4 linked regions of the Saccharomyces cerevisiae S288C genome follow. The protein of the gene in region 1 purifies or fractionates together with the protein of each later gene. This does not show direct contact. Each region holds a gene or a part of one and is shown on either strand. Other genes may lie near its edges. The genes, in order: RLP7, NUG1, YTM1 and ERB1.

What was found.
Region 2: the proteins of RLP7 (region 1) and NUG1 purify together in Saccharomyces cerevisiae (affinity purification with mass spectrometry; 6 studies listed by BioGRID, with this or other methods). This does not show direct contact.
Region 3: the proteins of RLP7 (region 1) and YTM1 purify together in Saccharomyces cerevisiae (affinity purification with mass spectrometry; 6 studies listed by BioGRID). This does not show direct contact.
Region 4: the proteins of RLP7 (region 1) and ERB1 purify together in Saccharomyces cerevisiae (affinity purification with mass spectrometry; 7 studies listed by BioGRID, with this or other methods). This does not show direct contact.

Annotation. Positions count from the first base shown.
Region 1 is NC_001146.8:621,796-628,953, reverse strand, and holds RLP7 (Rlp7p), read left to right. Parts: upstream 1-1,811; coding exon 1,812-2,780; downstream 2,781-7,158. Other genes in the region: ribosome dissociation factor DOM34, read right to left, coding at 338-1,498; PET8 (Pet8p), read left to right, coding at 3,125-3,979; HRB1 (mRNA-binding protein), read right to left, coding at 4,333-5,667, 6,010-6,039; mitochondrial 54S ribosomal protein bL27m MRP7, read left to right, coding at 6,526-7,158. UniProt on the Saccharomyces cerevisiae protein: Involved in the biogenesis of the 60S ribosomal subunit. May act as a specificity factor that binds precursor rRNAs and tethers the enzymes that carry out the early 5' to 3' exonucleolytic reactions that generate the mature rRNAs.
Region 2 is NC_001137.3:159,275-166,895, reverse strand, and holds NUG1 (RNA-binding GTPase NUG1), read right to left. Parts: upstream 4,174-7,621; coding exon 2,611-4,173; downstream 1-2,610. Other genes in the region: TMA20 (translation machinery-associated protein 20), read left to right, coding at 11-21, 125-659; PAC2 (Pac2p), read right to left, coding at 813-2,369; YND1 (apyrase), read right to left, coding at 4,454-6,346; FMP52 (Fmp52p), read right to left, coding at 6,621-7,316. UniProt on the Saccharomyces cerevisiae protein: GTPase required for 60S ribosomal subunit export to the cytoplasm.
Region 3 is NC_001147.6:830,779-837,916, forward strand, and holds YTM1 (Ytm1p), read left to right. Parts: upstream 1-2,034; coding exon 2,035-3,417; downstream 3,418-7,138. Other genes in the region: FSF1 (Fsf1p), read right to left, coding at 281-1,264; TPO4 (Tpo4p), read right to left, coding at 3,674-5,653; MOD5 (tRNA dimethylallyltransferase), read left to right, coding at 6,896-7,138. UniProt on the Saccharomyces cerevisiae protein: Component of the NOP7 complex, which is required for maturation of the 25S and 5.8S ribosomal RNAs and formation of the 60S ribosome.
Region 4 is NC_001145.3:367,594-376,228, forward strand, and holds ERB1 (ribosome biogenesis protein ERB1), read right to left. Parts: upstream 2,925-8,635; coding exon 501-2,924; downstream 1-500. Other genes in the region: CSM3 (Csm3p), read left to right, coding at 1-341.

The sequences.
Region 1 (7,158 bases):
TAATATAATTTCTTAGTTCGGCATTTTTTTGCTAGGCGCCTAAACGCAGATATCCTTAAATACCAAATTTGAACGTTATTTTACTTTTCGGAAGACAAATACATAAATAAATTTTAACATTAATATATAAAAAAATAATAAAAAAATGTATATTTTTTAAAATGTTTTAAAATATTTTTAAAAAGCTGCACGTGACTAACTAGAACCATTTCACAACAACTCAATTAATTGCGGCTTCACATCTACTTGCTTATAGGGAAGAAGTAAAGAGAATAATCCGATTTATTATAGGGTTGCAAATTTTATGTGTACATTACTTTTTTCTTACATAGTAAATCTACTCCTCACCATCGTCTTCATCAAGATCGGGGAGCGGGTATTTTAGAATACAGGCTATACCCGTCAATTGATCAAGTTCTTCTCCAAGAGAATGCAAAGTACTTAATACCAATGCTTTTCCTCCATTGCTCTCTACGGAGTCCATCAGTTTCAAATATTCCTCTCTTTGTGCAATATTGTCTGAATGCAAAACTTTATCTGTTAACAGTAAATAACTAATTGCGCCATACTCAGCCGCTTTAACTACCTCTTTTTCACCATACCAAGCTTTATCATCATCCTTGTTTAAATGCAACAAAAATTCATCCATCACCATGATTTCTTTGGAGTATTTAGTATCTTGCAGCTTTGAAGCATATAGTGGATTTTTCAAAACTTCATTAATGCCCTGTAAGTAGCCCGTGGAGCAGTGGGCTATAAAGAACATTCCTTTGTTATCGAGTATTTTCTTATTGTGTTCCTCTTCGGCATACTGGAAAATTTTGTCCATTAATATCTTAGCGTAGAAACCTGGAGAGCAAAGAATAATAGTCTTTAATTTATCAAAATTCAAATCTTTCTTCATTGCACTGTAAATTGCTTTATAAAATTTCTCAGTTTTTTCATCAAACTTCAGTACATCAGTAGTCCTTTTCTTTTTTGGCATACTATATTCAATTTTTTGTTTTAAAATAGTAGAGGAGGATGTCACTAAACAAACATGGGCGATCCCTTCCTGTAAAACGACCGCCGCGGTGTCTGATTTATACTCGATATTACAGGCTTCATTTAAGAGCTTTTGCATGAATTTATTAAAGTTTTGTTTTATGATAGTAAAGGGATACACGTAGTCAAGGGTAAAGCTCAAATATTTGCCGACAGGTATGTCAACATTACTAGCTCCACTTTCATCTGTAACAGTAACACCTTTATATTTCAAATATTCATCCTTCATATCAAAATCCTCGGATATTACTTTAATCTTCAACTTGACCAAATCTGTACTTTTTTTCTTACCAGCTTCATCAAGTTTAGAGGTGAATTTTTTCTTGAATATCAACTCGTCATCTTTGTCTACTATTTGATAAACAGTAAACAGATCTTCCTTGTCCTCCGGTAAAAGAGTAATCACTGCTCCTCCTTTGTTAAAAGAATCCTTTTTCAGACTAATAACCTTCATATTTTTGCTATGATAGGAATGCGATAATTGAACAAAATGACAACGATGCAGCAACGAATGCTTAATTTTTTGGGATCTTCATTAAATTACATTTTACATTAATATACAAAACTAGGTGAATATTGAATAATGTATGTACACTTTCATCACGCAGTACGGATTTTTGGTAAAAAGAAAATTTTTTTCAGCTCTGCTTAAAAAAAGCTGGGAAGCGATGAGATGAGAAAAGTCTAAGTTGTTTGGTACTTTCGTTATTAAGTTCCTAGAAAGAAGAGGCTGCCACAGGGAAAAAGAATAAGATATACAAGTCACAATGTCTTCAACTCAAGACAGTAAAGCGCAAACTCTTAATTCTAATCCAGAAATTCTTTTGAGGAAAAGAAGAAATGCTGATAGAACTAGAATCGAAAGACAAGAATTAGCTAAGAAAAAGAGGGAAGAACAAATCAAAAAAAAGAGAAGTAATAAGAACAAATTTGTCAGAGCTGAAAGTATAGTTGCAAAGACTTTGGCTACCTCTAGGGAAAAGGAAAGAATTAAAAGAGTGTCTATATTAGAAGATAAGAAGGCAAAGAATGAAACGCAGCATATTGCATCTGGGAAAGATTTTATTCTGAAAATAACAGAAAAAGCTAATGGCGCCGAAGAGAACTCTGTCGACTTGGAGGAGACTGAAGAAGAAGAAGACGATGGTTTAATCAGAGAAAAGACTACTTACGATGGCAAACCTGCTTTACTTTTCATTGTCAGAGTAAGAGGTCCGCTTGCTGTAAATATTCCAAACAAAGCATTTAAGATTTTGTCTTTGCTAAGATTAGTTGAAACTAATACTGGTGTTTTCGTCAAATTGACCAAAAACGTATATCCGTTGCTCAAGGTTATTGCGCCATACGTAGTGATTGGCAAGCCTTCTTTATCTTCTATCCGTTCCTTGATTCAAAAGAGAGGTAGAATAATCTATAAGGGTGAGAATGAGGCTGAACCTCACGAAATAGTTCTTAATGACAACAATATTGTCGAGGAGCAATTAGGAGATCATGGAATAATTTGTGTTGAAGATATTATTCATGAGATTGCCACTATGGGTGAGTCTTTTTCTGTTTGTAACTTCTTCTTACAACCATTCAAGTTGAATAGAGAAGTATCTGGATTTGGTTCTTTGAATAGGCTAAGGAAAATAAAACAGCGGGAGGCTGAATCAAGAACTCGTCAATTTTCAAATGCAGCTACAGCACCAGTTATCGAAGTTGACATTGACTCTTTATTAGCCAAGTTGAATTAATTAAGAGAGTATTTTAAAATTGTATAGTACATAGGTTGTTAGTTATCTAATGCCATTGAAGGAGCAGATATTGAGCTTTTGCATATAATTAGTGGTGCCTCATGGATTGAAGAATATACGTATTTTGGCAAGTTTATTGGTTTTTAGTTTATGTATCGGCAAAAGCACGGGCGCCTCTTTTTTTCCTCGCTTACTGAGCGCTGTTTTGTATATAAATACATTTGCAGTGGGGTGCACCCTCGAGAATATATGAGATCATTAAAGCTCCACTTGTTGTAAATTGTTTGGCGATTTTATATGTTTAGACACACCGATGAACTAAAATTCGCTTTGAAAAGTTTGCTATGAATACTTTTTTTCTTTCCTTGCTAAGTGGCGCCGCTGCTGGTACCTCTACGGATTTGGTTTTTTTCCCTATAGACACAATTAAAACCAGGCTTCAAGCTAAGGGTGGATTCTTTGCTAATGGAGGATACAAAGGCATATATCGTGGTTTGGGAAGCGCTGTTGTAGCATCGGCGCCAGGTGCTTCACTTTTCTTTATTAGTTATGATTATATGAAAGTAAAATCAAGGCCATATATCAGCAAACTTTACTCACAGGGATCTGAGCAATTGATTGATACGACAACGCACATGCTTTCCTCTTCCATTGGTGAAATTTGTGCTTGTCTTGTTCGAGTTCCCGCAGAAGTCGTTAAGCAAAGGACGCAAGTTCACTCTACCAATTCTTCCTGGCAGACTTTACAGTCAATTCTACGAAATGACAATAAGGAAGGTTTAAGGAAAAATCTTTATAGAGGGTGGTCTACCACCATTATGAGAGAAATACCGTTTACTTGTATACAGTTTCCTTTATACGAGTATCTAAAAAAGACTTGGGCAAAAGCCAATGGCCAAAGTCAAGTGGAGCCATGGAAAGGGGCTATCTGCGGTTCTATTGCGGGTGGGATCGCAGCAGCTACAACGACACCATTAGATTTCTTGAAAACCAGATTAATGCTCAACAAAACAACCGCCTCACTTGGAAGCGTTATTATTAGGATTTACAGAGAGGAAGGTCCTGCTGTATTTTTCAGTGGAGTGGGGCCCCGGACAATGTGGATCAGTGCAGGTGGTGCTATCTTCCTAGGCATGTATGAAACTGTTCATTCGTTATTATCGAAAAGTTTCCCAACGGCTGGAGAAATGAGAGCGTAATGAAAACATAGAGCAAAAGCAACTACCAGTTGTAAGAGGTAGATCGTTTACGTACTTTACGTAAGCCTTCTGAGGCCTCTTGTCTGTTGTTTATTTTTTGTTATTCATATAAAAAAGTCGTCTATTTACGATATCTGTTCAAAGTACTTTTTTGGATATTTGTTAAACCCATTTTCACTGTATTGGAAAAATCAGACTCTTTTCACAGTCTTCTTCAAAGTCTTCGAAATTTTTTCAGATTATACGTATACACAATGACATTATAAAGTTAAAAAGCCTGGAAATAAGTCAAGAATGAATAAATACTTGTCGCAGATCCAATAGGTGAGAAAGTATATAGATCGAGAGTAGTTCTAGAGGCGTTTAGCGTACGATATATCCAAATCACAACCCCCATAGTTATAATTATTCAATCTTTCAATACAAACATCTGCATCATCGACGTTATCGTATTCAACGACAGCTATTCCAGTTGGTGCCCCTTTGGAATCATACCTTAATTCAGCATTGTTAACCTTTCCGATTGTCTCGAAAAGGTCGTAAAGATCACTTTTTGCAGTTGAAAATGGCAAATTACTGCAATATATGAGTCTATTTCTTTCACCTCCACCGACAACGTTTTCGGTAAATTTTCGAGCTTCTTCGTTAACGGGAGAATCATCCATTGGGATATCAACATCGTCTCCATCACTGTGGTTATGTACGCTTTCCTTAGACTTGACATCCAAGACGTTACCCTCTATACTATAACCGTTGTATTTCTCAATCGCTCTATGCAGATCTTTAATATCATAAAAGGACACCGTACCAGATCCAGTGGATACTCCATCGCCATCCAATTCCACATCAGCGTGTGCGACATTCCCACATTCCTTGAATATGTCTTTCAAAGCCTGCCAATTAACGGAAGCAGGTAAATTTTTTACAATAACTTCATGTGTTTTTCGGTTATGTCTAAGCTCTCCTCTATCGAGTGCTTTCCTTTCCTTGATATTGTTTGACGGTGGTGGATTATCTTGCCTGACGAAGATTTTACGATCCATGAAGAAGGCCCCATCGTACTGGCGGATGGCCCTGTCAACATCATCCGAATTAGTGAACTCTACTGTACCCATACCTCTGTGGTGCCCTCTTGATGTAATTATATCCGCGCGGACTACTTTTCCTATCTGTGAAAAAAACTCAGTGAGATCTTCGGGGGTGCTGTCATATGTTAAATTACCCACGAATATACTATTGGAATAGTTTCTATTGACCTTTTCTTCGTATGTACTATCCAATTCACGTGCCAACAAAGGACCGTAATCACCTCTTGCTCCACTACTACCAAAACCGCCTCTCCTACTGTCATCACGTGTATTGTGTCTACTCCTAAAGCTTCTAGGATAGTCATCACGTCTGTTCCCATAACGACCAGTCACATCTCTTCCTCTGCGCCTATCATCGTAACGGTCTCTAGATCTAGGATTATCTCTGTTATTGAACCTTTCTCTTTCTCTGTAATCAGACCTTTCTCTACCTCCTCTATATTCTCCTCTATCTCTGCTTCCTCTGTACGTATCTGCGAACTTACGCCTACCGTTATAATTACCTGACCTCCGGGACAAATGGTTGTCTCTTTCATAACCATGATCATCACTCATCCGACGACGAACAGGTGATCTCGACCTCGATCTACTTCGATTATTCTACAACAATGAATAACATTAGTAAAAGTAACTAAATTTCATAATGAGAGAGACCAATAAGTCATTGCGTTTCAAAGTTGGAATAAACTGTACATTATAGCATGGCAGGTAGAAAATCAGGGTTTTATTTATAATTGATATTCTCACTTTCATAGCCAGTAGATAAACATTAGCAATGCATTCAAAAAACCCCCTTTAACCAGTGGAATCACATTGAAGCAAGCGTTTTGAAGGCAGCATTAAATGGTGACTCACCATTCGTTGATGTCTATTTAATTCCAATGACCTCATAAAGTCTCATTTTACAAACTTTTCTTCACCTCCCTTATCAATGAAACATACGTTTTCTGAACCTCGTTCTTGATCAGACATATCCTGTTAACTTAATATTTGGCGTTCTATCTGCTCATTCAAACTGTTTTCGAACTCATGAGCAAACATAATTATGAAATTTTTCAGCCAGTACTCTACTTTTTCATTTCCCTCGCTAAACAAAGAGAGTCATTTGAAACGACCCAAGGAAAGACGTAAATTGAGGTATATGTAGTGACCAGAAGAGGATAAGGATGGCTAGAGTTTGGTGTTCAAGTTCAATTGTTTGGTTGAATAGGTACTAAAAAGATTTTCACACAACGGCTTCTCTGTAATGTTATACACACTGTTTTTATACCAATTATGCAAATTTGGCTGTTATGACTGGGTGTTTCGATATCTGACGTTCCGCTATTGAATTTTAAAGCTCTTTCTTTGGAGACTCATTCAAGATAGTTCACTGAAGAATGAAGTTGGCTCATTGTAAAAATAAAACTCGCCAGTTTGGGTGGTCATAATATTTCAAGCTTAACCTAAGGTGAGAATATGTGGAATCCTATTTTACTAGATACTTCTAGTTTTTCATTCCAAAAACATGTGTCTGGTGTGTTCCTTCAAGTGCGTAATGCCACCAAAAGGGCTGCGGGCTCGAGAACAAGTATGAAGGATTCTGCAGGAAGAAGGTTAGGACCAAAAAAATATGAAGGCCAGGATGTTTCCACAGGTGAAATTATTATGAGGCAAAGAGGAACAAAGTTTTATCCTGGAGAAAACGTTGGTATAGGGAAAGATCATTCCATATTCGCCTTAGAACCTGGTGTTGTTCGTTACTATCTTGATCCTTTTCATCCTAAAAGAAAATTCATTGGTGTTGCCTTGAGGCGTGATTTGAAACTGCCATCTCCTCATTTTGAGCCTACCGTAAGGAGGTTTGGCCGTTTTGAGTTAACAAATAAAAGGGCAGCATATAAGGAAGAAAATTCTATTTCTAGAAAAGACTATCTCGCAAAACCTAATATTTTGAAGCAGTTAGAGGTCAGGGAATCTAAAAGAAAGGAGTTACAAGACAAGTTGAGTAAGGTTCTTCGGGATGAACTTAAGTTAGATATAAAAGACATCGAATTGGCAACGTCATACTTAATTCGTGTAAGGGCTTCCCTGAAGAATGGATACCCCATA
Region 2 (7,621 bases), on another chromosome or scaffold:
CAGAGAGGAAATGTTTAAGAAGTATGTCTAACATGAGAATGAATATTGCGTAATTCACTGGTTTTACCAGGGGTTAGTGTACACTTTTGACTCAGTAAGCAATTACTAACATCATCATCGATAGATTCACAAGAGAAGATGTCCATTCACGTTCAAAGGTCAAATCTTCAATTCAAAGAACGTTAAAGGCCAAATTGGTCAAGCAGTACCCCAAAATAGAAGATGTTATTGATGAATTAATTCCTAAGAAGAGTCAAATCGAGTTGATTAAATGTGAAGATAAGATCCAATTGTATTCCGTCGATGGTGAAGTTCTTTTTTTTCAAAAATTCGATGAACTGATTCCAAGCCTGAAATTAGTACACAAATTTCCAGAGGCTTATCCCACTGTTCAGGTTGATAGAGGTGCTATTAAATTCGTTCTCTCAGGTGCTAATATCATGTGCCCTGGCCTAACTTCTGCGGGTGCCGACTTACCACCTGCTCCTGGTTACGAGAAAGGTACGATTGTAGTCATCAATGCCGAAAATAAAGAGAATGCATTGGCTATTGGTGAATTGATGATGGGTACTGAAGAAATTAAATCAGTGAACAAAGGTCATTCCATAGAATTGATTCACCATTTGGGCGACCCCTTATGGAACTTCAGCGTTGAGTAACAAACGGAGCCGTCAACACTATATTACTATCCATCTGCTACATAATAAAATAAAGAAACTAAGAAAAAATTAGAATAACATCCGCTTACAATCTAAAAGGCTGTTTCCTGATTTTTAAATATGCAACTAGCCAAGATTAACTATATACTGTGATTACGATGGGCTGTTAACCTTCTGAATGCTCTTGTTATTTACTGGAGACGAAACATGAATAATATCTCCGTTCACAACATTAAAATCTGAAATGGGGCGAAAATTATACTTTATTTCGTTTATCATCCCTTCAGAATTTTCATGAAATAACTTAACATTCAGTATGTCAAAGTTTAGCTTTCGACATATTACACTCTTAACGTACCTTACTGTAAAACTGGGAAGGACCCAATAATCTAAATCACTACTCGGCTTCTTGCCAGCTCTTATCTTTATTTTTAAGACAAGAGATTGCCGTGTTTCTCTTTCATTGTTGAAACTTAGCTTACTCATATCGATTTCATACGACTTTATGAGGCTTGACCAACGCGGCAGATTGGTGTCATAGCTCAATTCGTTATTCATTACCTTGGAAACAAAAAACATCTCAGCCTCTCTTCTTGTTTTTACATCACATATTGATCCATTCAATACCATCACACGATCAAACCTAGCCAGTACTTCATAAAAAGTAGCCTGTTCTTCGACGTTAATATAATTTCCGTTGTAGTTGAATTCGTTGCCACTCAGATGGATATTTTTCAAAGAGGGAAATGTCTTATTCAAATCATCTATCAAACTTCTTTCCTTAAATTTGTTATCTGTTATATCCAAGGATTCAACAGAATAAATAGCAATACTTGGTGCTCTAGAAATTTGATTATTGGAGACATTTAAACCTTTCAATGTCAAATTTTTTGGAAACAATGGAAACGATATAAGATTATTTCCGCTAATATTCAGTTCCTCCAAAGTACACGGTATTTCATTCTCAAAATTTTGGATTCCCGCACTGGTCAAGTTGTTATAGCTTAAATCCAACATTTTCAGTGTCCTGAAGCTTTTGAGCAGCTTACCAATATGTTTATAACTTAAACCACAGGAAGACAGACGTAAAGTTTTGATGTGTGATAGGTCATATTCTTTCAAGTTGTCCCAACCGCTTAAAAGTTTATTTTGAGATATATTAAGGCTCTCCAAGTTCTTCAAAGGTTCTATGAACTCACATAAAGAGTTGATATTCGTGAATAGATTAAGCGATAAATCAAGGTCCTTGACGTTCACACAATTTTGTATTACACGGTTTAACTCATCTTGATTTTGAAACAATATAGCGACATCGGAATCTCGCAAAGCTATTTTTCTTAACTTCTTATAATTCTTATTTCTCGCATTTAGTTCATCGAATCCCAAACCCTCAACCCTTTTGTTACCTATAGATAGGTCATTAATGTTATTACTCGAGCCTCCATACTTTTCTGACAATGCTTCGTAAAACGTAATTCTGCGTACACCTGGAGATTTAATCTTAGACTCCTTCAAAAATGATCCTGAATTAGGAATTTGAACGTCAAAATAGTGTATGTCATCTATTGTTCCAGAATGTTTTCCCCGGCTGTGATCGTCCCATTCCACCCCATAAGCTTTTACCGAAGGCCACGGCTTAATAACACCTATGAATTTGATGGTGCAAAAATATCCACCAATCTTGAGTCTGTCCCCAATTTCATAAGTCATGCTATCTCTGAAATTCGTTTTGCATTTTATATTTTGTATATCTTATATATGAAACATAATAAAAGTTGGAACTTTTTAATGATTTCTTTGTCCAAAGAGCAAAAAGGCAGTAAAACTAAAAAAAATAAGATGTATAGTAATGAGTTTAAAAGCACACCTATAATTTACAGTAATGTTATTTGATGATAAAGAAAAAATAAGAAACACCCCTTACATAAAAATAGCCTTACATATGACTTATTTATTCCATCATTGTATCTTGATCTTTGCTAGCATCTATGGCCTTGTCAAGAGAGCTAAATAATCCATCCAAATCAAATTCTTTGGACCACTCGGATACAATGGTGGATTCATTTGCTGCAATTGGAGCTTGTTTAGTGCCAGTGTTTATAGTACTTAGATTTTGTTTATCTTGTTGAGATGCAGCTGCCGATGTATTTGGTAAAACCCAACCAAGAATTTTACCATCCCTCCAGTCATTAAGTACCGAAAGACCAGCACTGGCAAGATTTGGAATACCGCCTTTCCCTAATCTACCTCTTTTACGAGCGACGTGAATTAAGAAATGTTTTGTAAACGTATCTGCATCATTAGCAGGAATAGGAGGAATTTCATACAGCTTTTTAAAGCTCTCTGTCATTTCATCTGATTTAGCTAGTCTCTTTACCAACATTAAGACAGCTGGATACGGATCAACAATGTGTTTTGCCGGTAGAGCATTTAGAAGAGCTAATTCAGCTTCATGTTCAACTTTCGATCTTTTCTTATTTTCGCTTGGGAAACATATACCAGGAGAATCTAGAATCTTCAACTTGTTGTCGATTTTGATCTCTCTCAGAGAGGTAGTAACACCTGCTTCATTACCGACTGGGCAAGCCTTTGATTGACCTCCACGGCGCGCCAAAAGAGCGTTGATAACAGATGATTTACCAACATTTGGATAACCGATAACACCCACTACAATAGATCTCTTCAAATTGCTGTTATTAGAGTAAGTTTTCAGCGACTCTAGCAGTGCACTTGCAGTAGTGGTTTGGCTTAGCTTTCTGTTGAAAGAAGTTCCGTTGACTGCACCAGAAGAAGCTCTTAATGGGATTGTAGGAAAACTAGACTTTAAGTAATTTAACCATTGTTCCAATACATGTGGGGGAATTAAATCAACTTTGTTCAGTATTAAAATCAGCCTTTTACCCTGACTTTGTAAGACGGCTTCTTCCACCTTTCTTGATCTTGTACTCTCTGGATCTCTGGCATCCAAAACATATAGGATGACATCAGAAGCATCAATAACGGATTTGAAAATCTTGTCATAAGCTTTCCTAGATTTTTCAAGTTCTGACTCGCCTTCTACATCTTCACCGTAGAAATCAATGTTATAATCAATGACGTCCAATTCATCATCACGAACATCTGCATCATTAGAGGGTGTGCCCTCATATTCAGCAGCTGCTTGCTGAGCAGACTCAACCAAAGCTGCTAATCCATTTTCATCGTCTTCTATCATGTCTTCATCCATTGCATCAACGCCTTGTTCCTTGGCAGCTTTCCTAGCCTCCAATCGTTGTTGTTTGGCAAGCTCTCTTTCCTCTAAGTCCTTCATTTTTTTGGCTTCTATTTCTTCTAAGATCTTAGCCTTATAAGGAAAGTTAGAAGGAATACCAGGGTCTTTCTTAGACCTTGATCTCCAAGTAACGTCCTTCTTAGCCATCTTCTTTTCCTTTTTTCTATGGGCAGAAGCCTTCTTCTTAATACCTTCCTTCAACTTGGTAGATGTTCTTCTAGATTGGCGCTTTCTGACTCTCATTTTATGATATTATAGTCGTGACTGTATACCTATATGCTTGTTCTTGTGTGTACCAAAGTATTACTAGTACAATTCCCTCTTGATATAATTAGCTCATCTCATCGCCTCGCTCGAAAATTTTCAGCAGCTGTGAGAAAAAAATTTCAAAAAAAAAACAGAAGCGACGTTTAGAGTGACGTGAATCACTGTTAATGCAATACTATGGCACCTCACTAGATATATACATATATTTATGTGAGAAGTATATGCGCTTCTATTTATGGCACATACACCACCACATTCAATCATATAGCCTACTGTCCTTAAATTTGGAAAAATCAGCCATAGAAAACGCAGGTCGTAAGTTTGACGGAGCGAGATTAGCGGACTGACTTGCTGTCCTTTGTGGTTCGTGCTCCCTTTGCATTGTGGCTGAACTCTTACCAAGATCAAACATACTGCTACTCTTCATCCTGTACACATCTTTGAAGCCATCTACGTCTGTTCCAAGTTCACCTTCCTCCAATCTGGAAAATGGATCTGATCTCCTTAGAAATTTCAACCTTCTCCTTATGCCTGTCTTAAAGTCCTTGGTAATGTTGTACAGACCGGAAAAACGTCTTCTGATTATGTGTGACCTATGAAAGATCAAGTAAAATATGCAACAAATAATTGCGAACCACATCAAAAATCCTTTATTAGAAAGGCTGGAACTTTGCTTGCGTAGTTGATCAGACTCCAGTAACTTGCCAGGTATGAATTTCTTACCAGTGAGCTTAGTTCTTCTTTCACTGGGCGCAATACCCACCATGAAGTCATCATTACCTGCCAATATGCTACCTGAGGCATAAAGTAAAATTCTGCCTAGTGTCCACGATAACTCTCGTTCTTCGACTTTTTCCACACTTTGAAATAAGGGCCTGTCATTGACATTTTCTGCGTCGACATCTATTCGAGGCATATCAAACCCTTCATGAAGTATATTAAGGACCCAATTGCCCTTAAAGCATGCATCTTTCAAAAAATTCTCCGGAATAGAATTATACACGCCTTTATCACTGTTCGCTAATATTTGCGTCCAATTGGAATTGCAAAACTCCCTTAGGCTTTTGCTAAATTTGTCAAAGTTGTATTCGCCCCCAAGTTTGAATACGTCGTTGGCAGTGTACCAGTACTCAGAAGTACCTATAAATTTGTCATTGGCAAAGTCTATTCGAGGAGCATGAACACCATTAAACAAGCACGGCTCGTCATCACAAGGCATGTTCTTTAAAAGTAACGGATAAATAGATTTTGTACATTGTTCGTAATTCCCAGAACCCGCGATGTGAAATATGGTATCTTTAAATTCAAAATCCGTGCTGCTTCCTCGCGGCATACATGGATCATTCAAGTTCCTTGTAGAGAAGTCATCATTTTCGTAATCATTTGTGTTTTCTGGAAGGGTATTGATCAACTGAGCCAAGTACCTTCTTCTAGCCTGATTGGCACCAAACCCTAACCACGTACTAACAAAAACGTCCCATTTCTGCAAATCTCCGTTAACACTCCTCAAGAAGATGGTGGCGATGTCATCTCTATGTCTAGCTATTTCTCCTGAATCATGCGGTGCAAACGCAATCTGAGTAGAGGCACCGCCCATGTCCATAAACCCAAATGTAAAATGGTCAGAGACCTCTGGATTATAGTCATTAAAGTGTCCATATAGATAGTTTAAGCCAAGCCAGCCATATAAACCTTCGGTTTCACCATCAATGACTTGAATTTGTGCTGAGCAATCCTCAACCAAAAATTCTGCAGGGTGTTTGAGCCCCTGACACAAACCATCCAAAATGGAAGATTGTATGTCTTGAGGTAAAAGGCGCATGCCCGCGGTTGCTTGAATAAAAACGGGACAACTCGACCAATGTGATTCAGGGATAATATTCTTAGCAAAATCTAGTAACGGCTTGATGTGAGATTTGTACGCATCTTGAGGTTTTTTTTCAAAACTCGACAAGCCTGGATTCAGCTTAAAAGTCCAGTCTTTTTCTTGATGAATATGAGGTACTGATTGTAATATGGACTGTGAGTCCTGGTTTGTTGCATGAAGAAGCGATTCCGTGTCCTGCCACTTAAACACATGGATTCTCGAACCCGAAGACCCTGCATCTATGACGATACCAAACCGATCATTAGTGTTTTCTATGAGCATAAGAGGGCAGACGGGGAAATAAAAAAAGCCACGTTAGATATAGTATTTTACTTTATACAGCTAAAACGCAAATACGATATATACGAACGAAATAACATGACGATAAATCTCTGTTTATCATCGTTTCTTTAAAGAAAATAATGAGGCGAAAAAGTAAAAAAAGCTATGATTGTGTGAAGTTGTTGAAAATCCGTAATTCATTGAACCCGTACGCGCGCAAAAGTACGTCACAGTAAAATACAACTGTAGCTGCGAGAAGAAGCCGTTGGTTGATTTAGGTAGCAATCTTCTCCAGAGAAGCTGAGATGTCAAGAATGTCCTTGCTGGAGACAAACTGAACCTTGTCTTTCCCAGAAGTATTCAACGCCAAATGAACACCAACTTTTCCTACCTCATCGCCATAAACTGGATAGCCTAGCAACCTCTGGAATCTAGAACGGTACACGCGAGTGCCCAAAGCAGCAGTCAGATTGCCGCCAAATCCGCTTTGTTTAGAATTTGTCCGTTCACCAAGGAGAGGGCCTGGGCGCAAAATTATAATGTGCTTAAAATCAAGAGCGATAACATCGCGTTCAATCTCGCCCTTCATCTTCATGTAGCCGAACCTGGAGTCCGGATGAGCACCAGCGGAAGAAACGAGAACGATCGTTTCACATCCTTTTTCCTTGGCAGCCTGGGCCAATTGTAAGTTTAAATCATGATCGATCTTGTATTGCTTGTCCAAACCGCCTGCAGCTGCCCTTGTCGTTGCCAGTGCGGTGAATAGCACCTGCGGATTCATTTCATTGGTGATCAATTGTGACCACTTTGAATTATCCCTTTCTACTATGGCCACAACTTTATCAGTGGCCGGAAAGGGCAATTCCCTTCTCAAGATCGCGTATACCTTAGAGAACTGGGGTGCCTCCTGTGCGTGCCTCAGAAACCCGCCTCCGCATAAACCTGTAGCGCCTAATACCAACCCATTCATCGTTGCTTGTGCTCTTCTATATAATCCATCCTATCTTTCTCATCAGTAGGAGGTCGATCTTATGCAAAGTTCGCCACCAACAGCTGCAGTTACATCATATCGCGGAAACTCCGCACTGGCATCGTGCCGCGCGACAAGCGCAAGGATGAGAATCATGAAAACCTTGCTACAACAAGATGCCAATAAAGTCGTTCCCTGATATAGCTAGTACTTTGCGGGAGTAATTTGTTATTCTGCTTTCTTTTGCACTTTGATCATGCCAAGTCTCGTGGTGCACTATCCATTTCGTGCTGCTTGGTTATTGT
Region 3 (7,138 bases), on another chromosome or scaffold:
TGCACTCAAGAAAAAAGGTTTTCCATATCGACTTATCTGAGTTTCTTTTTTTTGCTTTTTTTTTTTTTAGCCCATTTTTTTTTTGACGCATTAGTCGTTAATGATGATATAATGTCCACGTGATGACATTTCAATCTGCAACAATAGCTCGGCAACTGGATTACTAGCAGTCATACGTATGTCAGTCACTACACATATATATATATTAATGTTTAACTAATTTTTTTTTCTTATCTATCTGATATTTATTCTATAACTATATAAATTTGTCTCTTCACTTCTAAATACCTCTGTTAAAATAGACCTTTTCAATTGGCTTCCCATCCTTATCCTTCTTGCCATGTAGTTCAGGTTCTAGTTTATTTAAATGGATTGCTTGTCTTTGAGGGAAGATACCGAGTGCAAATGGCAAAGCTGAGAACATTGTGACTGAGATCAACCCCAAATTGGCCAAAGTTTGCACACCGAGAGACTTACCTTTGAGGACACCGCGTTGTAGTCTAACCAAAATCAAAGGTGGGATGACCATAGTTGGAGTGGCGTTAATCACTCTACTTAATGCAGTTTCACCAACTGCCATGAAGGCAGCCTTCTTGGACTTTCCGACTTCGTCACCGTTAGAGTCAAACACAGAAATACCCTTTCTAATTTCGTTGCCTCTCATTAGGAAGACGTTGACAATACCGGCACTGACCACGGCGGCAAATGGCACCAAACGGCCCAAGATCAACTTTGAATGTGGAGAAATGTTTTTCAACCTGGGAACTAGGTTATTTAGACCTAACGCAACACCACACGACGCAGTTACAGCGGCAGCGTAATTGGTGAGCAATTGGGACGTGGACATAGGATGAGATTTGTTTGCGTTAGCGGAATTAACGGCGACGTTTAGCGATTGATTTGCCCATTGCCAAAATACAGTCCCTGCCGTACCCAAACCAGGCGTCAGCATACCTACAGTAACGACTAGGTTTGATAGCACGTTGGAAGACATACGGAAGGGCAAAAGAACTGTCTTCCCTGTGTCCGGATGCACGGTGGAGTCCAGTTGTTTCTTGGCTCGCCAGAACTCCGGAGTAGTCTCTTTTAGTTCACCGTGACGATACGCACTGATGATTTCTCTAGCATGCGCCAGGTCCTTCTCAGTAGTTAACAACATAGTGGGGTCGGAAATCTCTGCGCAATGGCGGATTCTACCCCAATACGTGGATAAGTCATAGCGGGATTCGGGCAAATCGATGGGCCCTGGGACTGATGATGCCATATTTCTCTGCCTTGTTTATTTTTTTCTTTCGATGCTGTGTGGTTTTATTATTGCTAACTTGCAGTGGTCGACGCCTTTGAAAACTGTAAAGCTGATGCGAAGACCTAACAGTCTCTTATCCAATTACCTCAATCTGGTACGCTCCGGTACCGGACGCCAGTACGAAAGAAAAACTTTTCGTTCGTCTCGGGCACCATTGGTATAAAAAGCGCCGAGGCAGCGATCATTTTTCTAGTATTACTCTTCTTTCATTTTTTAGTTATCTTTGATTTTCGGTTCCGAAGAAGGCATGATACATATTAAACATGCCTTCTATTCACTGTGCCATCTTACATCCGTAGGTGATCAGAGGGGAAAAGAAGAGCTAGAGCAACTCCCACACTCATGAGCGTCCTCATACTGTTCTGGGCGCTTCTCACAGGTGCTTCTTTTAGTGTCTCCCATTGGCCCAGATCGGTAGCTGCGCGAGTGAGATATCTTTCATTCATTTATATTTATCTGTAGCAATAGCTTCCTTTACTATTTTATTCTTAGGGAGAACTTTAGCTTATTTCTTGCACAAGAGGGTTTGACAGTTTTCTGTTACCCGGCCAGTACTTCAAAAATTTTTCAAAAATTTTCTGAAGTGCTCATCTCATCGCAAACCGTAGGAGCAGTGAAAGGCATATGCTCATCTGTATAATTGCAAAAAGACATATTCTATGTTCGCAGAACCAATACGTTACCTAAAGTTTTAAAGACAATACCAAGGGAAACTGCACAAATTCAATATGACAGAAGATAAATCGCAGGTTAAAATCAGGTTTTTCACGCGTGAGAAAGATGAATTACTACATGTACAAGATACTCCAATGTACGCCCCCATCTCATTAAAGAGATATGGGTTGTCCGAAATTGTCAATCACTTGTTGGGCTCGGAAAAGCCTGTTCCTTTCGATTTCTTGATTGAAGGTGAATTGTTACGTACTTCATTGCACGACTATTTGACCAAGAAAGGTTTATCGAGCGAAGCCTCGCTGAATGTAGAATATACCAGGGCAATTCTTCCACCATCCTATTTGAATAGTTTCAGCAATGAGGACTGGGTTAGCTCATTGGATGTCGGCGACGGTTCCAAGCATATTATTAGTGGTTCTTACGATGGTATAGTTCGCACCTGGGATTTATCAGGTAATGTGCAAAAGCAGTACAGTGGTCATTCTGGCCCAATCCGTGCAGTAAAATACATTTCCAATACAAGGCTAGTTTCGGCTGGTAACGACCGTACTTTGAGATTATGGAAAACCAAAAACGATGATTTGAAATTAACTTCACAACAACAGGCACAGGAAGACGATGATGACGAAGTAAACATAGAGGACGGTAAGACACTGGCTATCTTGGAAGGTCATAAGGCACCAGTAGTCTCTATTGATGTTTCAGACAACTCAAGAATATTATCTGCATCATACGACAATTCTATTGGGTTCTGGTCTACTATTTATAAGGAAATGACAGTTGTTGATCCATTAGAAGATATAAACAATCCAAACAATAAAATATCCACTGCTGCTAGAAAAAGGAGAAAATTGACAATGAAAGATGGTACCATTAGAAGACGTGCCCCTCTGTCTCTGTTAGAATCCCATACAGCTCCTGTTGAGCAAGTGATCTTCGATTCTACAGATAATACCGTTGGTTATTCAGTATCACAAGATCATACCATCAAGACATGGGATTTGGTCACCGCGAGATGTATAGATACAAGAACAACATCGTACTCGTTGCTTTCCATTGCTCAATTGTCGACTTTGAACTTGTTAGCATGTGGGTCCAGCGCCAGACACATCACATTGCATGACCCACGTGTGGGAGCGTCTTCCAAAGTTACTCAGCAACAACTAATTGGTCATAAGAACTTCGTTTCCTCTCTGGACACTTGTCCCGAGAATGAGTATATATTATGCTCGGGTTCTCACGATGGTACCGTGAAGGTATGGGACGTCAGGTCTACTTCTCCGATGTACACCATAACAAGAGAAGACAAATCGGTCCAAAAGGGCGTCAATGACAAAGTTTTTGCTGTCAAATGGGCTGAAAAAGTGGGTATTATCAGCGCTGGTCAAGACAAAAAGATTCAAATAAATAAAGGAGACAACATTTTCAAAAACTGAGAAAAAACTGTTGTTGTTTTTATGTAGAATAATGTACTGATATACTTGAAATAAATTTGGTTTTGCCAACAGCTTTCGCAAATTTCTGTCACCTTCTTCTTTATGTAAAACGACATTACTTGCTAAAAAAAAAAATACTTCTATGATAATGTGTACTTGTATGAAACTTCTATAAATTTAAATTGGTGAATTTTATCCAGCTATCCCCCAATTTACTATTTGAATATATGCAATTGTGATCTGTCTTAAGACCTTTTCAAACCATTCTGGCGGAAGCATCGGTGGCCATTTCCGTATACGAATAACCGTCTTCATTATCCTTGATAGCTGAGTATAAACTATTGGAAATGGGTTCATTACGATTTTGCGCATGTTGCCCGTCCTCGCGATCAAACGAGGCAGGAACGGGCTGCGTATGGGTCCTGCGCAGAGATAGCCTTTCACCTGGTTTTTCTCTAGTCGAAGGGTCTGTTTCCATGGTCCTTAACGTGGTCATCCTTGTTAGATTCAATTCACCATCGACAGCATTTACGTCATCTATACCACCTTCGGTCTCAGCCTCCTTTTCCATGGCGGCATAACCAAATTGTGACTTGTGTCTTAATTTGCTCCCCCATTTTTCAAAAACCCATGGAATTGGAATCATCACAACGCAAACTAATGCAAATAAAGTGCTTGCCCATTTGATTTTCATCTTTGTGTACATTTGGATGGTAAACAATGGGAATACACTACTCATAACGTATCTTAATAGATTATTGGCAGCCAAACAGGATGCCACAGTTAATGGCGGATAGCATGTAGAGAAGTACATTAAAACGCTGAAAAAAATCAAAATTAAACCAAAACCAAATGGCACACCGGCAGCCACAGGAGCCATCCAGTGGACATCTGATCTAGCAGTCCAGGCTTGCCAAAACAGGCCGATAGGCAAAGCTACAGAACCAAATTTACAGGCAATTAAAAATTTTTCTGGAACAACGGGTAGCAATTCACCTGTTTCAGCGTCTCTTGCACCTCTGTAAGGGGTAGTCCTTTTAGAAGTTCTCTCTTTTTCGGTGAGTGGTTGAGTGCCAGCTGGTGGTTTAGGGAAGAGATATTTTCTGTCGATGTAAAGGTAAAAGAAAGCACCTATCCATAACCCGACACCAATACCAATAAATGGCAAGCCAGATATCCCCATAGACATGTGGTAAACACCACGATAAATGACAGCGTATGCTTCGAAAAATCCAAATAAAATGGCGAATATGAAAGCGACATAAACACTGAAAACAAATACAATAGGTTCAACGACAAGCATTTTTAAAGGCCTTAAGATTGTAATAGTGACAGTGGTTTTTAAAAATTCTTTCTGAGCTTCCCTGCTGAACTTCTTCAAGGCTATATTTCTCTTCTTGGCACGCTTTCTTAAAATAATACCTTTATGGGTCTCTGGCATGAGCGCAATAAATGGCAAGATTAGACCGCCCGCAATCAATTGGATCCATTCAGACCAACGCCAGCCTTTGGCTTCAGTAGCAAATCCTGCCATAATAGGAGATAAAACTGGCCCTAAGAATGGAGATAGAACAAAGTATGTCATTGCGACGGAGACCTGGTCCACGTCAAAGATATCCAGGATGGTACCTGATCCAACGGATAAGGCGGGGGATGCAAAGACACCTGATAAAAACCTTAGGGGTAGAATTATTCTCATGTGGCCATTGGATAACCCAACACCCATGGTGAAAAGCATTGACACAGGTAGGGAAAATAAATAGACAGGCTTACGACCAAACACTTCACTTAATGGAGCGCCGATGACAGTCGATAAACCCAGAAGATAGAAAGTTAAACCAGCAAGCGCCAAAGTCTGACTAACGTGATATCTTTCTACCAATTCTGGTACGGAAGAAACATATAGGGAACTACCCATTGTGACGACCAAACAAAGAAAAGCTGAAGTCATAGTAGTATACCATTTCTTCAAAGAGGACCAATTATGCGGATTGTCTGGGTCATCGGGCCCGTCCCAATCGAGATCTCTTGGGTCAATTGGCTCGCCCCCTGTCATGTTATTGGAATCTGCATTCGGTTCTGATCTTTTTTCGTCCTCTGTTATTGACCCTGTCGAAGAAGAAGTCGAATCCAAGTTGCCGCTATTAGTTACATTTTTGTCCAAGGCTTTTGGTACCTGCTGTATGTTTGTTCGAGGATCTGAGTTAGATTCGGTTTTTGTCAAAGAAGAAGGCATTAGTAAAACTTAAAATATATGTATACGATGTCTATGCTTCTTTGTGTGTGTATGTGTGTGTATAAGATGGTATCTTTATTCTGTAATTTTCAGGAAAGTGATGACTAGAAAATCGATGTGTCAGGTACAACAAATTGACAACCTATAACTTTCCATACAGGCGAATATATATATACACATAAACACATTCAAGCCTCCGGTACCGTTTGCTCTGACAAGGACAATTAGCATGTAAGCACGAGTGCGGGTATGCAATCATTTCAGTGTTTCCTTCATTTGGCATAGTGTCGTAACACGGATTTAAGGTGAGCCGTCAGGGGCTTTTAAGCGGAGCCCCTGCAGCTTCATGAAGACGGAACCGCACGGGCCTATTACCTCGGGGATAGATCAATTATCCGAAGCGGGTCACAACCCGGAAATAATAACCACTATGCCCGACCGTACCGACGTGGCACTATTTTTGGGATCCGTGGAAGTCGGCCATTAGTGGTAATCGGCGAAAACAAGTTTATTGCAGCTAAAGCACGCCATACGGTTGATATAAACAGCAATTAGGCACTTTTTCTCTTATTATTCATATGCCTTATTGGCTTGTGGCTTGTGGCTTGTAGCCTATGCAAATGCATTTGCTGATAGCAGCATAAGAAAGTTGGGAAGAAACGCTAACTGTACTTTTTATATCCAGAGTTCATTAGTTGATCTTTTACCCCAATAATTTCTTCCACTTGCGGCCTGCTTCTTCGCATTTCTCCCATTCCGGGCCGCGACTCCGTAGTTCTTACAGAAACAGCCGCCTCCATAACCATCTATGATAGGAAAAAGATGGACAAACAGGAAAAGAGCTAGGGAGTATAACCTGATTCCTGACATGTATAGGATTCGGGTAATTTTGAAATACGAAGCTCTTTGCATTCCGAGACCGGTTTAGGAAGATTTATTTACATATCTACTTGCGCTATTGTGGTCATGCCTTCGAAAGATAAAGAGCGAATTTTGCTCGTATAAGCTAAAATCAGGTAAAAGTTCCTTATGTTGCTGCTCCTCGATGGCAACGTCGATCTAAGATCTTGATTACTGAATCAGGCGAAAGCACACGTTCATCTTTCGCTCATCGGAAAGAAAATTAAAACAGAAAAAAATTCTAAAATGGCAAAAAAGAAGAAAAGCTCAGTGAGGGCTGTATAGTTTATTAGATAAGCTACTATACGTACATATCTTTTGTAAATAGAACCAAAAATCTTCATGCTAAAGGGACCGCTTAAAGGTTGCTTAAATATGTCTAAAAAAGTTATAGTGATTGCTGGTACAACAGGAGTAGGAAAGTCTCAGTTGTCCATACAATTGGCACAAAAATTTAATGGCGAAGTTATCAATTCGGATTCTATGCAGGTATATAAAGATATTCCTATTATAACAAATAAACATCCGCTTCAAGAAAGAGAGGGCATTCCTCACCATGTAATGAATCACGTAGATTGGTCAGAA
Region 4 (8,635 bases), on another chromosome or scaffold:
GAGGACGAGTTTTGGACGAACGTGGGAATAATGAAACGGTACTTAACAACGTTGTGCCGCCTAAGGAAGATTTGGATGCATTATTGAAGACATTCAGGGTACAAGGGCCCGTTGGCCTTGAAGAAAATGAGAAGAAGCTCTTATTAGGATGGCTAGATGCGCATAGAAAAATGGAAAAAGGCTCTATGACTGAAGAAGACGTTCAACTGATTCAAAGTTTGGAAGAGTGGGAAATGAATGATATAGAGGGACAACATACTCATTATGATTTATTGCCAGGGGGAGATGAGTTTGGCGTAGATCAAGATGAGTTGGATGCTATGAAGGAAATGGGCTTTTAGCAATGTCATTGAAGGTAATAATCCAAACGTGCGTGTGGGCATCTATACATATAGGTTTATATATATTGTGTAAATAAAGCTTGTAGAAAGAGCCTGGTTCGAGTGTTTGATTTTTTCTTCTTGGGCGTTATTATACAATATCTACTTCAAATTATTTATCTAGGTGGTCCATAAGCGAGCCGTATTATCAGCACCGGCAGAAAACAGCCAAGCTTCCCTCGGATGCCAAATAGCATCAAGAACACCCAGACTATTGATTACTTTATGACCGGTTAGTTTCTTTAGTGGCACAATCATCGGATTTTTCATCATGTCATCATAAACAGTGGCATGGAAAACATGTATGGTACCGTCATCAGCGGCAGAGCTGAATAGAGGTAACTTTTTGTGGAAATTCACACTTCTGACGGCTTTTTCATGATATCTTAGTGTCTTGTAAGGTGTGCTAGCCAAATCCAGGTCGTGCCATAAAACTCTCTTGTCAAACGATGACGCAATTAAATTATCACCCCTTGGGTGAATATCGATTTTCGATAACCAACGGGCACCAGGCAACAGTTTCTTGACCAATATTTGTTGAGATAAATCATAAATTCTGACATATCTTTGGGAACAGACAAATAATTGAGGTTTAAAAGGATGGAACTTCGCATCCATAATAATGCCCTTCGATTTTTTGAATGGGGATTGGGTTAAATGCTTGGAAACTTGGTGAATCAAAACAGAAGTGTTACCAGAGTCAGGTTGAACAGTGACAAAGTAATCACCTTTTCTATGCCATGAAAGCTTTTTTACTGTTTTTTTGCAAGAAATAGTGATACAAATATCCTTTTCTAGTTGCTTTTGAGAAGGCTTGTTCCATTGGGCTACTTGTTTTTTTACAGCATTCTTAGCAGATTCATTCTCTCCATCTTCATCGCCATCACCATTCTCGTTCACTTCTAGGTTAGATTTTTTAACAGTCCCAAAAGTATCGTAGCCAAAACCATCTTCAATCTTAGTTTTGCCGTTATTTTCAATATCGTAGCCGAATATTGGTGGTACTATTAAATGAATGTTTTCACCAACAGCAACGGCGAGAATACCATTATTAGCATCAGGATTCCATTCAATGCATTCAATGTGGTAATCTGGGTTTTCCTCGTCATCGATTAAAGTAGTTCTATAAACTTCTCTACCAGTTAAAATTTCCCATACCCTGACTGTTCCGTCATCAGATCCTGTTGCTAGCCATAATCCAGAAGGATCAATGGATAATGTGCGTACTTTTCCTTTGTGACCAGCGTATATTGTTGAGCAACGAATAGGGAAGGGTCTTAAATCCTTGGGAGAGGGAAGTTCTGGAATTAGAGAATTAGGATCAATATTCAATTTGTTTTTACGGACACGAGGAGCTAAATATAAATCCAAAGATCTTTCAAATCTTTCCCTAATAGATTCACCGTAACCAGGGACCTTTCTTAAGGCAGAATACTTTTGAGGTATGAAGTTTCTTTCTCTTTCACTATATTCAGTATTTTCCCAGGCCTCCTTTTCTTCAGGAGACAAAAGATACTCTTCTGGTGGATTATAACTCTCTTCATTAGTTGGTGGAGGTAATTTTGGTGCCCTTAGATGCATTACATGATCATTTGTTTCCGTAGAATCACCCCATAAATCGTATTGATAGTTTTCAATTTTTTCCTTTTCTTTCATTTCCTTTAATTTTTTAGGAGGAATAATACGGCCCTCTCTGATAGCTCTTACAATTTTCATAACTCTCTTGGCTTCGTTTTTGGATGGAACAAATCTTCTTTTTGGCTCCGGAACAGCAGTTAATGGCATCACTTCTTCGTGTCTCGTGAACCAATCGATTAACGGTTCGTATGGATTTATGCTATCATCAGTTTGTTCGTTCCTTTGGATTTTGGAAATAAGTTCTAATTCCTCTTTGGTTAAGTTCAAACTTGAACCGGAATTCTTGTCCAGTAAACCAGTCCAGCCTTCAGGTAGCTCGATAGAATCCAACAGTTGATCTAAAGCAGAACCCTTGGCAGGTCTCATAATCCTTTTACCGTTGATATCGTATCCAATGTGTGGCATTTCATCGTATGCAGAAAGTGGAATATTACCAATGGTATTTTGCGTTTCGGCATCACTATCATCGCTATCATAAACTGGATTAATTTCAGGTTTGATAATTCTATCACTGCCATCTGCATATTTTGAGTAAATATTCGGATCAACGATCGTTTGCAATTTCACACCCGATAATCTGTCTGTTAAGGAAGTTGTGTCGTCTGAAAACTCAGAACTGTCATAGTCCTCTTCCCCATCACCTTCTTCTTCGGCAAGCAGTTTGTTTAATTCAGCATCGGAGTCATCATCAGAATCATCTTGGGCTTCTTTATCAGAAGATGATTCCTTTTCTTCAACGGCAGACTCGTATTCGTCATCATCCTCGTCACTCTCACTTGCTTCCGCATCGATCAAACCGTCAACGGATAAAAGCTTGTCCTCATCTTCCTCGACATCAGATTCTTCGCTAGCTGCTCTCTTTTTCGACATCTTTGCCTCGGTAGTTTTGTTGTTCTTAGCCATCATTGACCTAGTTATGTTAGAACAGATTTAATACAGTACCTTTCTTCGCTAGGATCTATATGCGAATATATCACATATGTAAATTATAAGCTCATCGCAAAACCAAAAAAAAAAAAATTTTCAATAATTTTTCACTAATCTTCAAAAACAAATGGGGTAACCCGTACAAGAGTTATTAAAACCCAAAATGACAAAATCGCGACAATTCAATCCTACTTAATTAGCAATAACATACTAGCGGTAGAGCTACTATCACATGTTGAACCTTGAATGCTCAATTCATTGTACTCAATACTGCTATCAAAAGAAAAAAAATGTATTAATTATATTCTTGTCAAAATCAATTTTACACTATAAGAGGAAAATGTTCTTCAGTCCTAGTAACATTAGTTTTCTCCCTTTGCTAGAGACTTTACATAATATCCTAGAAGGTAAAATTCGATAATACAGCAGTAAAGTCGTATATTGGTAGCAATCCTTGGTGACGCTGACTTTTTTTTTTTGTAATTTTATTGTTTAGTTCATGATAAAAAACTTCAAATCACTTTTAATCTGGTAGACAGAGAAAACAAATCGAAACGAAAATAGAGAACTACGAATAAAAAAATATAAGTGGAGAAGATCGTCACTACGCATTAAACAATATTGATCGCTCAATGCCAGTACTGCGCGTAAAAGTTTAGTAACTTAACGATTTAGGCACAATTTGAGAAAAATTTCGCCCTGCAGTAAGTATGTTATTCAGTACGATATAAAGCTGAGGTTTTATGCTGGCAACGTTCAGATTTTTTAGGTTATCAGCAATGTTAAAATATTAAATAGGATACTTTTATTGTTTGAGACCACCCTCAATGCCAGATATGTTAAACGCTTTTTTCTGGAGTGAGGTATCATAGAAAAAGGCTCGAGTACATCAAGCACTTAAAGGTTCAACACTCTACTGTTACTTCTTTAAGCTAAGCTATTCATACATAATAGTCCATCAAAGTGGCTCAAATTGCGCATACAGTGTAAAAATGCGTTCAGGGAATAACGATGTCAAGCAGCGTGTGAAAATTGGACACGTTGAATAATAAACTTCCTGGAAACCGTCGCGCGCCACTGCTGTCAGAAAATAGTAGACTACTTAATTTTCAATTCATATTTAGCCTGCTTTTTGATCTATGAAATCGCCCACTCTAAATCAGCGGTGTTTTTGCACGGTTTGTAATTTTAACTTCATTATATGTATTATTCGGTGACTTCACTAAAAAAGAAGGATCTATGCAATATTCTTATCTTCTATTTTTTTTCTTTTCGATTTTTGAAGTTAAACCTTCGTAATGAACAGATTCGAACAGTATACAGCTGATGACAATTACATGTTAAACTTTCATTGATGATAATGGCACGCACTCCACCTGTTAAAGAGGCAGAACGAAGAACCTTTGCTTATAACATAGGTCAGTGTATACTGGATAATAGTATCGAATAACCAGCATAATATTTTCTCTGGAAATACCTTTAAGGGGTTTTTAGAAGAAAAACAAATCCTAGTGCAACTTGCAAGTCATCAAAAATAATCTATCTTATCTCTATATATATATTTGTGTATTTTATATTTTATGACAAAGCTAGAAATATAAAATCAGATACCGCAATAGAAGATATTTCAAATAATAATACCAATCTCATAGCTCAAAACAGGCACTAAGGGAATACTGAAGAAAGTAATGTCTAGGAGTTAGTATAGCTTGAAGTTGCCATCGGTGTCATTTAGGTAGATCTATCTAGATTACGCGCAGCCCTCAGAAAAGCAAGTGATTTCCGAAGTTTCAACCTACCCAGACTATTCACATAAGGTTAATTTATGATTGAACAGTTCAAATAAATCTGCGCCATTCATGAAGATGATTCGATACCGCAATATGCTGCTAAAGTGCTAAAAAAATGATTTCGCCCAGGATCGAACTGGGGACGTTCTGCGTGTTAAGCAGATGCCATAACCGACTAGACCACGAAACCAGGTTTTATTGAAAAATTGCATCTAAAATAACCTATACTAATAAATCTTCTAATAAATCTTCTAACTCTTCGCTGTTCTATGTGATATCGTTGATAGTTAGGTTTTCGTGTTGAAATAATCAATTACATTTATTGACTGGTTTAATATTAATATATTATCATATACAGTGTAAGAAGGTGAGATATATGTGGGTAATTAGATAATTGTTGGGATTCCATTGTTGATAAAGGCTATAATATTAGGTATACAGAATATACTAGAAGTTCTCCTCGAGGATATAGGAATCCTCAAAATGGAATCTATATTTCTACATACTAATATTACGATTATTCCTCATTCCGTTTTATATGTTTATATTCATTGATCCTATTACATTATCAATCCTTGCGTTTCAGCTTCCTCTAACATCGATGACAGCTTCTCATAACTTATGTCATCATCTTAACACCGTATATGATAATATATTGATAATATAACTATTAGTTGATAGACGATAGTGGATTTTTATTCCAACATACCACCCATAATGTAATAGATCTAATGAATCCATTTGTTTGTTAATAGTTTGAATGTTTTTATCGGAAGAGGTTTGGTCATTACGTCTGCAATATTCTTTTTGGTTTCGATATAGCATACGTGCAGATGATTTCCTGATACTTCATCTCTTAGTCTCATTGCTTTAGTACCAAAAAATCTGTTTCTAAATTTCTCTTCATTATTGGATATAATTATACTGATTGTAGATTTACTGTCGGTTAGTAATCCTTTAGTAATTGGTTTCTTGTTAAGTTCTTGCACAAGGTGACTGAGGTTATTTAATAATGGGACAGATTCACTTATCGCGTGTATTTCTGCTTCCGTAGTTGAAGTACATGTTAATGAAGCCTTGGTGGACTTTCCTCCAATTACTTTTCCATTAAGTAAATATATGTTGCCAATTTGTGATTTATAATACGGTTGGTTACCATACGATGCATCGCTTATAACAACTAATTTATTTGTTGGCTTAACAGGTTTGCTTTTGTGCCATATTAATTGCTTATCTCTCGTATTCCATATGAACTGTATCAATTCATATGTCATATCTAACACTTGCTTGGACGGAAATAGTATATGTTGTGCAAGTGTGTTGATGTAGTATAATAGGTCAAATCTAAATTTATATCCAACATATGATGCTAGACCTATCAGCTTTTGCATTTCATGTACCTTCATTTTGTAATCATCTTCTTCTAGCTCTAGTTCTTGCTGGTCTATATATAGACCTGGTTGACCTGGAGCGCTAAGTTTCCTTCCTTTTGGGTTCAAAGGTACGTTTAGTTTGGGTATTTTTTCAGTTAATGAGTTTTCCATACCTAATTTCATGTATTTACCTCTTTGATATTTGATTTCTAAGCCAAGTATGTCGTACTGAATTTCGTTATCACTTTCACCCAGATTTATTATCTTTGTATCGTATTGTTTCTTGAGTGTTGTTATGATTTTCTTATTTGCATTTAAGTCTTTGCTGAACAATATCATATCATCAACGAATAAGCAAATTGTTACTTGACTATTCTTAAATACGCATGACCATCCACGAACTTCTTCCATACCACACTGTTTTATCAGGTATGATTTGATAGTTTCGTACCAGTTCGCTCCACTTTGTTTCAATCCATAAAGTGATTTCTTCAAACGTATTAACTTATCATTCATTCCTAAATGTGGTGGAGGTCTTATGTATAGTTCTTCTTTGATGTCTGCATACAAATATGCCGAAGATATGTCTAATTGTGTAATATAGTAGTTATTGTCTAATGCAAGTGACAGGGATGTCATTAATGCATAGTGATGTACGGTATTGGATTGCATGCCTGGGTCGTAAGTGTCAGGATGTTGAATATCACCTCTTGCAACAAATCTAGCTTTATGAGTACCGTCACGTTTCCTGTTAAAGATAAACATTGAATTTATTACTCTTTTGGGGTCTATTTCTTTTCTGTCATAATATCTGTCAGTGTCCCAAGTTTTCATCTTCAACAGTTGATTGACTTCTTTGTGGTATGCCTGGATATATTTTTCTTTTTCTTTAATATCTTTATTATAGGTGATTGCCTCATCGTATCGTAAGGTTGTCCGTATTGGTTTGATTGATTTTACTGCTTTTACAGCTGCAATCAGGTGAATTCGTTTCTTCGATCTCGGAGGTTCTAAACTACGCATATTCTTAGTATTCCATGTGTCTCGTGATACCTTAATTTCAGTTTCATTATCTTCTAATGATCTTTTCTTACTGTTGATAGTAGTATAGGCATTAGAGTCACCAATACCACCCAAACTGGAATTAGTTTGACGAGAATTGATCGGTGGGAGTTCTTTAAATGGGTCAGGGAATTCGGTAGGAGATTCTGGAGGTAGATCAGGGAGTGGGAGATCAGCGATGATAGATTCCTCGGTATTCTGTTCAGAAACAGTAGTTGGCGTTTTGATAGGAACAATATTGTGCGATGAATTATTTTCCGGTGGAGAAGCATCGATTGAAGGTGAACGGTGTATAATCCTTTTCTCAGTCTCTTGGTCACTTATCTGCGGAACAGTTTTGTTGTTGGTACCACCCGTACTGGATATTGGTACGTTTGTATGATTAGTCTCATTTTCACTGTACGAGTCTGAGTGTCTGAAATCTTTAGATTTACTGGCGTGCGACGACTCATGTGTGTTAGATTGGGACATGGGAGCAAGTAAAGGAACATTTAATTTATGCATACCACCCGAACCGGTACTCTCGATATTGGAAATTTGGGGGGTGCTAGATCTCTTCTTTGATGGAAGAATATTAGATTCAGATATGTTGGGGTCAACTTCTCTGGGTGCGCGAATATTGGTTTTAGAAACACGTTTCGAATCTTCAGTATGAGTTGACGGAGGTGTGGAATCGGTTGGACTCACAGCTTTTGAAAGGACATTTCTCGGTTGCTCAGGATGTAGTTCGATGTCAGATTGGAAGTCATGGTCAGATTCTATGTTAAGATCATCGGATTGTTGGATCTCATTTGACGCAATGAACGATTGATATGAAGCAGTTAAACGGTTTAAGTCTTCATCGAAAGTGAGTGCGTCGTAATTGAATTGATCTAATCTGGATTCCTTGCCCTGAAGAATAACATAGTTAGTTGTATCTACTGTCTTCTTTAAGGATGGAAGATAGATGATATATCCATAAGAGTTTCGAGACGGATGTAGAGCGTAGCCTGGGATGCCACGAGGATGTATTTTGGAGTTAGGGTTGTGATCATTGACGATAACAGGTTGACCGAAAGGTAACAAAGTACTGATATCAAGTCCTGCCAAGCCAGCATGTTGTCTTGCAGATTTTTTGCTTTTAGGTGAAGCTAGTGAATTTCTCACAATAGTAGAAAATTCGATTGCAGAGAACCATAAATGGTTCGGTAAACCACTACATTGCAGTTGAGTACGGCAGTCATCTAATAAGGTACGGTTGAGCCGTTCAGCGACTCCATGTGCTCGGGAATCCGCTGTGGTTGTATAGCATGGAGTTATACCATTTTTTTCAAGGAATTTATGGAGAGTTCTGTTAGTATACTCAGAACCACGGTCCATTTGTATAACCAAGACACTGGCCTGAAACTGGTTCTTAATAAAAGCTAGTATCGTAGTAAAAACATCGAGGATAGAGTCCTCGCGACGGTCGTGTAATGGATAAACC